Linked DNA regions of Arabidopsis thaliana. The protein of the gene in region 3 purifies or fractionates together with the protein of the main gene of each other region. This does not show direct contact. Each region holds a gene or a part of one and is shown on either strand. Other genes may lie near its edges.

What was found.
Region 1: the proteins of AT5G15220 (region 3) and AT3G18880 fractionate together in Arabidopsis thaliana (co-fractionation; one large-scale study listed by BioGRID). This does not show direct contact.
Region 2: the proteins of AT5G15220 (region 3) and emb1129 fractionate together in Arabidopsis thaliana (co-fractionation; one large-scale study listed by BioGRID). This does not show direct contact.

What each region holds. Positions count from the first base shown.
Region 1 is NC_003074.8:6,507,640-6,511,202, reverse strand, and holds AT3G18880 (Nucleic acid-binding, OB-fold-like protein), read right to left. Parts: upstream 1,704-3,563; 5' UTR 1,616-1,703; coding exon 1,454-1,615; intron 1,290-1,453; coding exon 1,134-1,289; 3' UTR 1,133-1,133; exon of another isoform or gene 958-1,132; intron 779-957; 3' UTR 501-778; downstream 1-500. Other genes in the region: Tic62 (NAD(P)-binding Rossmann-fold superfamily protein), read right to left, coding at 1-34; AT3G18870 (Mitochondrial transcription termination factor family protein), read left to right, coding at 1,864-2,688; AT3G18860 (transducin family protein / WD-40 repeat family protein), read right to left, coding at 2,851-2,982, 3,065-3,130, 3,336-3,405, 3,528-3,563.
Region 2 is NC_003070.9:18,280,928-18,284,684, forward strand, and holds emb1129 (Nucleic acid-binding, OB-fold-like protein), read left to right. Parts: upstream 1-2,040; 5' UTR 2,041-2,228; coding exon 2,229-2,390; intron 2,391-2,527; coding exon 2,528-2,716; intron 2,717-2,912; 3' UTR 2,913-3,275; downstream 3,276-3,757. Other genes in the region: AT1G49405 (Uncharacterized protein family (UPF0497)), read right to left, coding at 3,408-3,602, 3,685-3,757.
Region 3 is NC_003076.8:4,940,689-4,944,445, forward strand, and holds AT5G15220 (Ribosomal protein L27 family protein), read right to left. Parts: upstream 2,097-3,757; 5' UTR 1,686-2,096; exon of another isoform or gene 1,526-1,685; intron 1,459-1,525; 5' UTR 1,446-1,458; coding exon 1,349-1,445; intron 1,249-1,348; coding exon 1,124-1,248; intron 1,021-1,123; coding exon 778-1,020; 3' UTR 556-777; downstream 1-555.

The DNA.
Region 1 (3,563 bases), on a different chromosome or scaffold from region 3:
GAGGTTGTCCACGGAGAAAACAAGTTCCTTCCATTCTTAGTTAGTCTTCTTCTTCTTCACTAGCTAGTGTATGCACATTAACTTTGAAAATTTTCTATCACGAAAACACTACTACAAGTTCACGATCAGACAAAGGAATCTCAGAGGAAAGAGGAAATATACAAATTTTATTATCTTTATGGATACAATTGAGACTCAGCAAGAGTTCTACTGCGTCTGCCACTGCATCTTGATATGATGGGACCCACATAACATTACAAGAGACCAATCAATGTTTGATTGGAGTATGCTGACATGGCAAGGCTAATTCGGTTTGGTTTGTTCCAAAACTTGGATCCAAACCAGAATCATTTCATAGGACACATTAGAATTTGAATACTTTTGGCGCTGGATTCTTATATGCATTGTTACATATTGGCGTTTACTTTCTCCAAATGCTTATATCCAATTAGATGAGTAAGTTTGGTCTTCTTAACATCACTTATGAATAGATTTTGACCAACACAATCTCTGTAAACTTGTTGGTCTTTTTGAATTAGCTTTTTTTCGCTAGAGTGAAAATTATTCATCAAACTTTCAATAGATAATCTGTAACTTCGGATTCATCAATTATACAAGTAATCAGGAGATCGAAATCTGATCAATATCATCTACTAAAGCACTACACTACAGCTTGATGGATTATGTTCGAAGTTACCACATTCTCTGTTTCTGATGGTGCTACGTCTGCGACCCACATTGTTCGACCCTGGGGTGAGTTTGCGCCAGAACTGCAAAACTGCAGCAAGAGGAACAGTCAGAGTTTTAAAGCCTAACCAACCAAAAAGGTAAGAAAAATAGATTACGGTAGATGCACATCAAGATGCCTAACTAGCTATAAATCGTAGTGGGTATGACACAGAAAATGTAGGGAGCACAAAATGGATTCCAAGAACTTAAGAATGGAACATCAAGATGCCTAACAAGCTATATTGCCACACAATAGCCTCTCATACCTTTAGAAACAGTATCAAAACTCAAATGTCAAACAGCAAAGTTCAATTCTCATGCAGTTCCACTAAAGGTATCAAAGGACAATACACTGAAACAAAATATTCTGATACAAAAAATTAGAGAGCAATAACTAAATCACCTTAGGAAGACGAAACAGGGGGCTGCTCAGCAATGGAGGTTGAGGAATTGAGAGCCGCAGCAGCAGCTTGTGGAGAATAAATGCGTGCTTTCTTTATGATTTCTGAAACAATCCAATGCTTATGCTTGCTCAAAGGCCTTGAAGGATCCAATTTCACCTAATATTTCAAACAACCAAATCAAGTTTCATTTCCAAAGCAGCCTAATAACAAACAGGCAAGTCTACTTCCAATGGTTGAGTTCAAATATTCCTAGAGCTTCCCTAAATTTTCGAGCTCTTGATCAAATGTATATCAAATTCAAAAAATGAAGGGGAAAATACTCGATCGCCGATGTTACAGGAGTCCTTTTCATCGTGAGCCATGAACTTGGAAGTACGCTTGACATATCGATTGTAGATATTATTGTGGAAGAGTCTGTCGACGGCTACCACCACCGACATCTGCATTTTGTTCGACACCACTGTCCCTATCACTGCCTTCATTTTTCCTAACGAGCTCTCTCTGGATTTTGAGAATCTAAAGAGCAAAGAGAAAAAGATTCTTCTGGTCTAGGGGTTTTATAATGATGGGCTTTGTTATCTCAGCCCAATTTATATTAAGGTCCATGAAGTATAGTAGTTAACAGAACCGGCCTCATACTAAACCGCTTCAAAAGCTAATTTCTGGTTTATTTAACAGATATAAATAAAATCGAACCGGGATGAGAAGTAAGAAGTGAAGAATCATCGATATGGCTGTTATTGCTTCACTTCATCATCTTCAACCTCTCTCGTCTTTCTCGTCTCCTCCTTCTCCTTCAAGCTCTAAGCCTCTCTATCTAAAATTCCAAACCTCACACCGTGAAAATCTAAGACACCTTTCTTCTCTCGGAATTGTTCCTCAGAATCCCCGACTTGCTCCTCCGGCGAATGATCTTTCCGTTATCCTCTCCGCCGTGAATCTCCTCAAATCGAAAGGAATCTCCGACGAAGATTTCCCACGCCTCGTTTTCCTCTGTCCACAGCTCTTCTCGCCCACTTTCGACATCTCTAAACTCGATCCCGTCTTCGATTTTCTCACCGGCGAGCTTGGAGCTTCCGCAGAAGAATCCAGGGGCTTAATCGTAAATTGCCCGAACATCCTCTTCTCCGACGTTGAGTATTGCTTGAGACCGACGCTTGTTTACCTTAAGGAGCTAGGGGTACGGAATCTGAACCGAGCCAGCAAGACGAACGCGCACGTGCTGAACACGAGAGTTGAGAAGCTAAGAGCAAAGATGAGATTCTTGAAGAGTATAGGTTTCGAACACGAGGAAGCAGCTAGAGTCTGTGGGAGAATCCCGGCGATATTCGGATACAGTGTTGAAGATAACTTGAGGCCCAAGTTCGAGTTTCTCGTTTACGACATGGAAAGAGAACTTGAAGAGCTCAAGAAGTTTCCGCAGTATTTTGCGTTTAGCTTGGGGAAGAGGATAAGGCCAAGACATTGGCATTTGAAGAAGAAGAACGTTAGGGTTTCGCTTAGTAGAATGTTAATGTGGGGTGATCAAAAATTCTACTCAAAATGGAAGCCATAAGCCATAATCTTTTAAGTTTTAACATATGTTAGTATTCAGAAATCTGAAAACAAAAAAGTTGAATTGCATTTCAAGGAAAAGTGATTTTGAATCATATGAAAATTCTTGAGGGAATCATTGAAAATTCAAATCCCGGGTTCGATCACAGACTCTCTTTTAAGGTTACTGACGAATTACAAGATCGATATCGGCCCCAACTTCTGCAATCTTGGCTTCCTTTGACGCCTTCGCTGATTTTGCGATGCTCTCTACATCAAAATCTATCGCTATCTTCTTCACGAGACCTTCAAGCATCTGTTGTTACAAACACACACCGATTAAATTATGTAATTAACAACAAGTGGATTACGTTACTCTAGTTGTTGCGGAAACTAACCAGTGAGCCAATTGCTACCAGACTCCGGAACTTGGAATCAACATCTGCAGCTTCTTCTTCTGCTACCTGTAGTAATAAGTTAAATATTTTTAGCACCAAAAAAATGATAATAAACTATTTGGTACATTGGTCTTCTCCGATTTTACTTTGATCTCAGAGATTTGTGCAAGTGACAGAGACAAAATAAAAACAGATGAGATTCAACTCGGTGACGATGAATAGGATTTGGATGTATGCAACAGTGGTTAAAAATAACCAAATTTAGGCGTACCTGCAAAGCTGCTGAAAGGACTTGAGCTTGACCTTCTTGATCCTTCTTTTCTATTAATAGCACTGCATAACTGAGGAAGAACAAAAGCATAGATTACGGTTTGATCTTTCTCCACAGAGAGTTTAATAATAGAATAAAGCTACAATTTGGCAAAAATCCAACTAGAAGAAAGTAATATAAGAGAGATCTTACTTGAGAAGCAACGTCGAATAAGCCAACTGCAGATTC
Region 2 (3,757 bases), on a different chromosome or scaffold from region 3:
TGGCCAATCTTTTCAAGTAACATTTCAACAATAAAGAGTCTCTAAACCCTTAAGTAACCTTTCAACAATAAAGAGAGTCTAAACTCTAAACCCTTAAGTAACATTTCCAGTATCAATTGCTATTTGAGACCCCTTAAACCCAAAACTTAAATATATTTCATATTCAATTCCGCTTGACTCCTAAACTAACTCGTGGGACGATTTGCTTTTTTGAAAGTAGAGATTTTCAAATTTTAATGATTATGTATTATATATAAAATTTTGCAAATTGTATCAATTTATAAGACATTTATATTTTAAAGTTTATAATTGTTATTAAGTTATTGTTATACCAATAGACAATTTTTGTTTTGTACCCTTATCTAAATTAGTATGATTCGATATGTCTAATATTGGTGGTGTGAAAAATAATAAAATGAGTAGTATTTAATCCGTATTGAAGCCGTGACTTAATGATATTTAATTTTTTTTATTTATATTGATTCAAAAGTTCCGCCATATAACCCCGCTCGGCAATATAATATATCTCGTGTTATTTGTTTATATATTCGAATGTTCATAATATTATAAACTGTTTATTGATTTTAAATATATCAATGATAATATTTTTACAAAATAAAAGTTAAAAATTTTAAATTTAATATTTCCGGTAAAATTAAACAGTTTAACTAGAAACCAAAATTATAATATCTATGAATCATTGCCTAAACATTTTAGCCGATATGGTACGTTAATCACAAACTTTTTATTAATTAGGTAATATATGTCCCTTTTTAATGCACAAAAATTATAAGATTTTTCTTAACTTTATGAATTATATGATGATTCAAAATAGTAAAAAAAAAATCAAACAAAGCTGATAAAAAAATCTTAATTTTAAATCTTAACCAAATCTTCTAAATATGGATTTTGTACAAAAAACGCTTAAAGTTATATTTTTTTGCAAATTTACTTTCCACCTCAAAAAATGCAGAATAATCATGTGAAATCAAAAATATTACGCAATATAGCATTTCTAATATATTGTAAGCGTTTTCACGATCACATACATTTGATTTTTAAAATTTTAAAGCTATAGAGAAATTCCTCTTCTCGAGGCTTTCGATTTGATATATTATTTATCAAAATTTAAAAAATTAACAATAGTGAAAAAGGCATTTCACTATTACTTATTAGGACTACATGGAGTAATAATGATTAATTGTTTAAAAATAAAAGCAAAACCGTTGTTGTCGGTGGAATGGATTTTGGGATGAAAGGTTATAAAGGTTACTGCAATTGTCATGTGGAGCTATGTGACTTCTACTCTATCAAAGGCATGTTAATGATAGCTTGTAAAACAGAGAAAATGACGAAAATAGCGGTTACCGCAATTGTCATGTGGAGCTATGTGACTTCTACTCGATTAATATGGACTATTGTTGAGTAATGTATGTTTTGTTACTAAAGCTACGGTAAAGAGATTCAAGAAACTAAGCAGAAGAATCGGAAGTTAATTACAATCTAAAGGAGTAGTGAATTAAGTGCTTTTTGCTTTTGCTTAAATCCTGGAGAATCTAGAGTGAATAGGTTTATAAAAGTGTTGTCCTATAGCATGTAAGAAAAATGACTTGTAGGTGTCATAGAGCTATGTTATGCTTTTGTGTTGTGTTTTTGTTATAAACGTGGATAAGAGAAATGAGTGATGTATGTTTTTATGCTCTACTAATGAATAATGTTAAGAAAAGAATTCTCTCTTTCAATTCTAGGTTATAGAAATAACAAAACTCAAAATCACAACAACTATAAATACAAAGAAGATACAAAACAAAAAAGATTCGTATTATTTTTAATGTTATTTAGTTTAGTTTTACTGTAATATTGTTTTTACCGCCCGTTTAATGTTTTTTTGCACACTGCTTTTATTTTAATTGATGGTTTACGGGGTTGAATATAAGTTTGTGAAGGTCTTATAAGCGAGGGCTAAAAAAATAAAAGAAAATAAAAAAATAAAAAAATAAGCGAGCGCGTTAAGTAACAATTAGTTAAGTTGGGCTTTGTGTGAGATTCTTAAAAAGCCCATCTTTACAAAACATGAAACCCTAGAACGAAACATTTCACTCTTCTTCTCTTCCACCATCTCAGATTCCCCGGCGAAGATTTTGTTCACAGTTTCCGGTGATCTTCTCCTGTCCGCCCAAATTTCAGTATATCTTTGAAGTAAAACTTTGTTAATCAGCAAAAAAAATATGAAGCCAGTGATAGGCACAGTGGTATCGAACAAGATGCAAAAATCTGTAGTGGTCGCCGTCGATAGACTCTTCCACAACAAAATCTACAATCGCTACGTCAAACGAACTTCCAAATTCATGGCTCACGACGACAAAGACGCCTGCAACATCGGCGATCGAGTAAATTCTCTCGCATTTCCTTCTTCCCTTTCACTCTAATTTCGTTTGATTCCGTCTTTTAAATCTGAGCCACTTGAATTAGGCTTTGTGATTGAACCTCTGAGGCTAAGAAATTTGAAAATCTGGTTGATGTGTAGGTGAAGTTAGATCCATCAAGGCCTTTGAGCAAGAATAAGCATTGGATTGTTGCAGAAATCATCAAAAAAGCTCGAATTTATTCTCCTAAAGCTGCTGCTGCTGCTGTTTCTGCTTCTGCTTCTGCTTCCTCAGCCTCCACTACTGACTCTTCTGCTCAGTCTCAGATTCCTCCATCATCTACTTCTTAAGGTGATTGATTACTTTAGTCCTTTACGTACATAGATATCTAGTTTCAGCTGATTTTTGGAACTTGATGAGAATTATCCTATTTTATGGATTTTAGTGAGTCTTAAAGTATTGATGTGTGACATTATGCATATTGTTATTAGATACTTGAACGTTATGGAATCGATAGACTTATCGTCCTTTTTCTTCTTACTGCAGTTGTTTTAAGAGAAACGTTGCATAGCGAAGCGAGAAAGTTGCTAGGAGTTGTTACTATGAGCATATTGCATCGAAGCTTTTGGATCATGTCTGTGATATTTGATTTCCTGAGATGATAATGAGTTATATGATGGTACTAGATTATCTGGTGAAAGTAGATGAATAACACATGTTAAGATACTCTGTCTTCTTATGTTATTTTGGCAAATCATCAGTGCATTGCCTTTTAAGCAGAAGTGTGAGATAGTGATGAGTTGTTATTACATTCGTTATTTTGGGTATGGAACAATGAGTGAAAATGTATCTTTGGCTCTACAAGTTGTGACACCAGTATGACAAACTAAAGATCAGTACCAACACCAACATCAGTGCCTTGGTCTTTAACGCCTGAAATTATGAATCTTTTCTTTAGTTAGTTAGATATCTATAAAGTTACAAGGTTTTGAGTTTTTGGAGATAATTTTTTGTTTGCTACCTATCTATTTATGTTTTGTTTTAGATCAGAGAAGGAAGTAACCAGAGATTGAAGAGAGAAGAAGAGAGAGACAAGAACCAAGTCAAGAAAGCTAATGTTGCTGCAAACTGATATCTGTTGCATATTGTTGGAGGGCAGGAGGATTCGTTTGATCGCAGAATATCAACAACACTAGCTGCCGATGACGCTGAAGCCAACGCTAGAACAGACACCACCTGCGAAACCAAAAATTGGTGAATTCGGGTCAAAAACTCTGTTCTTTTTTCTCAGTAAGCATTAGATATATAATAGCGTTACCCAATCACCAATAGAGATAGCGAGAAGGATCCGTGGCTTTTGAAATGGTTGCTGGAGAATAACACAATAGATA
Region 3 (3,757 bases):
GTATGTGTGCAAATGCAATTGGAAGGATTTATCATATACGATGAATGTATCGCATGGGTGGTTAGTATGCATTAATATGGACTGTTCTTAAGATTTGTGAATAAAGAAAAAAACAATGACATCTTCTTCTTCCTTTTTTTGTGTTATAAACGAAATGATTTTATTTTAATTGTATTGTTTTTGAATAGGAATGTGTAAAATTACAAGAAAATAATAATTCAAAAACTAAATATTGATGTGCATGGCAACTTGAGAAGTATTTGAGGAAACTTTAATGGCTAAAACAAGTTGGCTCTTGATTTCACATTATGCCAAAAACAAAGCTGGTTCGTCCATATATGATAATATGAGAGAAATTTATGTTTGAAATTTTAATTGAAATTTTAAACCCGATAGGATAAATATGTTTCTGATTCAATGAACGGATCTAGCCGCGTTGACGGGCCAGAGCCTGAGGCTTAGAATGTTGGCCCATTATTCGATGAGTTTATAACGGGCCGGGAAAACATTATCTCAGACTGTTACTTGTCTGTTTTGCGTAACACATATGAGAGAAACTCAGACTTGATTAACATCTATTTCCGAATAAAACTTGATTTGTTGAATCCAAACAAAGCCCTTCATCAAAATCCAGACAAAGACTAGAGGGAAACAAAACAGCAGATGTTATTGAATTGAGTGGTTCTGCTCTAAGATAGCATCATCTTTTACTCGAGAGATCACATGATCTAAAGGAAATGAAAACCACGTTTAGATTGTTGCAATCAGTATTCACGACTATGAAGCTGTCTTCAACTTAGTCGATTGAGCAGCTGCAGCTTTTGTGTAGATAGGGTGAAGAACATGACCACCTGTTGGATCAACATGAATCCATTTGCGTCCTGTAATCTTGCTTTTCTCGAACCTGACTCGTCCTTCCTTCAATGCAAACAGAGTATGGTCCTTACCAATCCCCACATAGTCTCCAGGATGAAACCGAGTTCCCCGTTGACGAACTATGATGTTTCCTGGTATCACACTCTGCAAAATCACACACACACACAGGCAAACATTATTTTCTTCACACAGACCAAGACTGATTTGATTATCAAAATCTTATCTCGCTTGTTATTTATTTTCTTACCTCTCCTCCGAATTTCTTAACACCGAGAAACTTGGGATTAGAGTCACGACCGTTCTTTGTAGAACCAGCAGTTTTCTTAGTAGCCCAACGCTTGAAGACCAAACTCAAGCCACTTGAAGAACCATCTTTAACATCCCCAAAACAAGAACAACAGCAACAATTACACAAATGAGTTAACTAGTTAAGATCATCAAAATATAGATTTTGAAAAGCGCAAATCTATACCGGAAATGCTACTGCCACTATAAGCAGGAACCTCAGTGATCAGTTCCCTCAAACTAACTCTTCTGCAAATGGATGCTGCTGAGTTTAAGAAATTCATTTTTTTCAGGAATCTGCAAGCAACAAAGAGCAATTCAAACATTAATCATTCAAGTAGAATCAAATCAATACTATACAAACCATTTCATCAAATCTTCTCGAGCAAATGGAGTTTTTTCATTCACACTCGAAACTCCACCATTGTCACAAACGTATTAACCTATTGACCTCAAAACCAATTACATTTCCGATCCGATTCCAACTCTCGAATGATACGGTAATAAGAAAGGAGGATACTTACCGGAAAATTTCGATTTCGATTAATTGCGAACGATGACAAGCGTGGCCGGAGATGACGACGGCGAGTAAAATGGCGTCGGCGACGGAAGCGCGATTAGGATGGAAGGGCCTAACTCCAAAACCCCTATTTGTCAAGTGTGAACTATACACGCCCGGAGGGTCCTCATGTTTTCATTTGTTTACATAACGACCCCTACATTTTCATTTGGATCAAAATTGATATATTACTAAAGAGAAATTTGCATAGTCTTTTGTGATTTTTTAGACAGTCAATTTTATTTAATTTTTGAAAATTTTGACACAAAAAAAAGTTGATAGTTCGGTTTTTGGAAAAGAAACCTAATCTAACCAAACTAGAAAAATGTCTTGTATATAACTTATTAGGTTTGTGCAAGTGTGAACAAGATGACATCATGAATGATGGATGATCATTATCTTTTATTTCTTGTAACATTAATAACAAAATGTTATACATTTTCTATACGCATGTGTTTGAAGAACAACTGGACACGATCTACAAGTTTATTTTGTTAGACAGTAATAATCAATATCCATGTGATGGATCACATGCTTTCAAATCTTTTTATTTGAAATCGCATTTCAATGGTCCTACGGTCCGTGCTTTGCCGTGCCGTACCCCGACCCTACAAGTTTCTTATACTAACCCCTTGTAATAAATTTTGTGTCACACCAATTATTTTATAAATCTAACTACAAAGATTCCTATAAATTAGTACCATACAGTTTCAACTAGATTAGGGGAATCAGTAGCTACAAATGTCTTCTACATTAGTAGGTTTGTCTAGCCTGGTTTAGCAAATTCAGACTTATTATAAATAAAATTAAGTTGTAGTCTCTCATAAACCGAATTTAAAACTTAAACTTAAACAAGACATCATCCTTGGCTTGAATCAAACATAATCTGAAGATAATGAAATGATCCAACTGGATTATACACCAACACTCTTATATATAATCTTCACCTTGGAGTTAAGCTTATTCATTGTCATTTCTTACAAGTTATCATGATCTTCTTATACATTTGTATATATCCTATACATAATATAATAACGAAGGTAAATCTTGTTTTCCGCCAATTGATCTGGCTAAATATATTTTCTCATTTACTTTTTTTTTTTTTTTTGTGACGTCTCATTACATACATATTATTGTTATTTTTGGGTATAAAACAACTTTAATCGTTACTAGAAAAGATAACATTTCTTATGAAAACCAAAAAATATCCCAATGTTCCCTCCTTTTCTCCGAGCAGATCGACTCAAAACAATAATTGGGTGAGCATGTGAAACTGGCTAAAACTGCACATGCCTTCTCTTTTTCTTTTCTTTTTTTCAACCTTTTATTTAGTTTTCTTTTACTTAAAACAACAACTTTATATGATCTGATATTCAAGTTGGGATGTGAATGCGCATTTATGTTTGGGTGTGCGCATATATACGTTTTTAGTTTGTTGCATATATATGTGTGTGTTTCAAGTTGCTTATTCTTTCGTTAATCGTGATTTTTCTTTCATTTCCCAACTTGAGATGCTAGTGGTGAGTTACCTGTGTTTTAAGGTTCACAGCACTTTTGTAATATCTCAAATCAGGTGTAACAAAAATGTTGTATATATATCTAGAATTCTAGATCGTAACTCTAAAACAGTATTCTTCTGTTAGCTACTAGTATTTCATTTGCCCTCGAATTATAACAGTGGATCTAGATCTGGTTTTTCTCTGGAAACATATCAGAAGAATTAGAGTAATTAATGAATTTATCTTGACTATCTAAAGAAATTATCTTGACTATATGTTCATGATCCGTCAACAAATAATGGTATTTGAATGAATAATAGTATAGTAAGAGTGTGATTATAATTTACAGTTGGGACCGTTGGTCAGATCTAACTCCCGTCTCCTTCTTCAATGCACCGTCCCACCTTTTTTTGTTCATTGTTAAAATACAATTTCAATTATCTTTTATAAACTCTGATAATATATTTGTGGTTAAAAAAACCCGTTCAATATTGTCTTCCCACCAAGCAAGCACCCAATTTAAAGCCACAAAATAAAC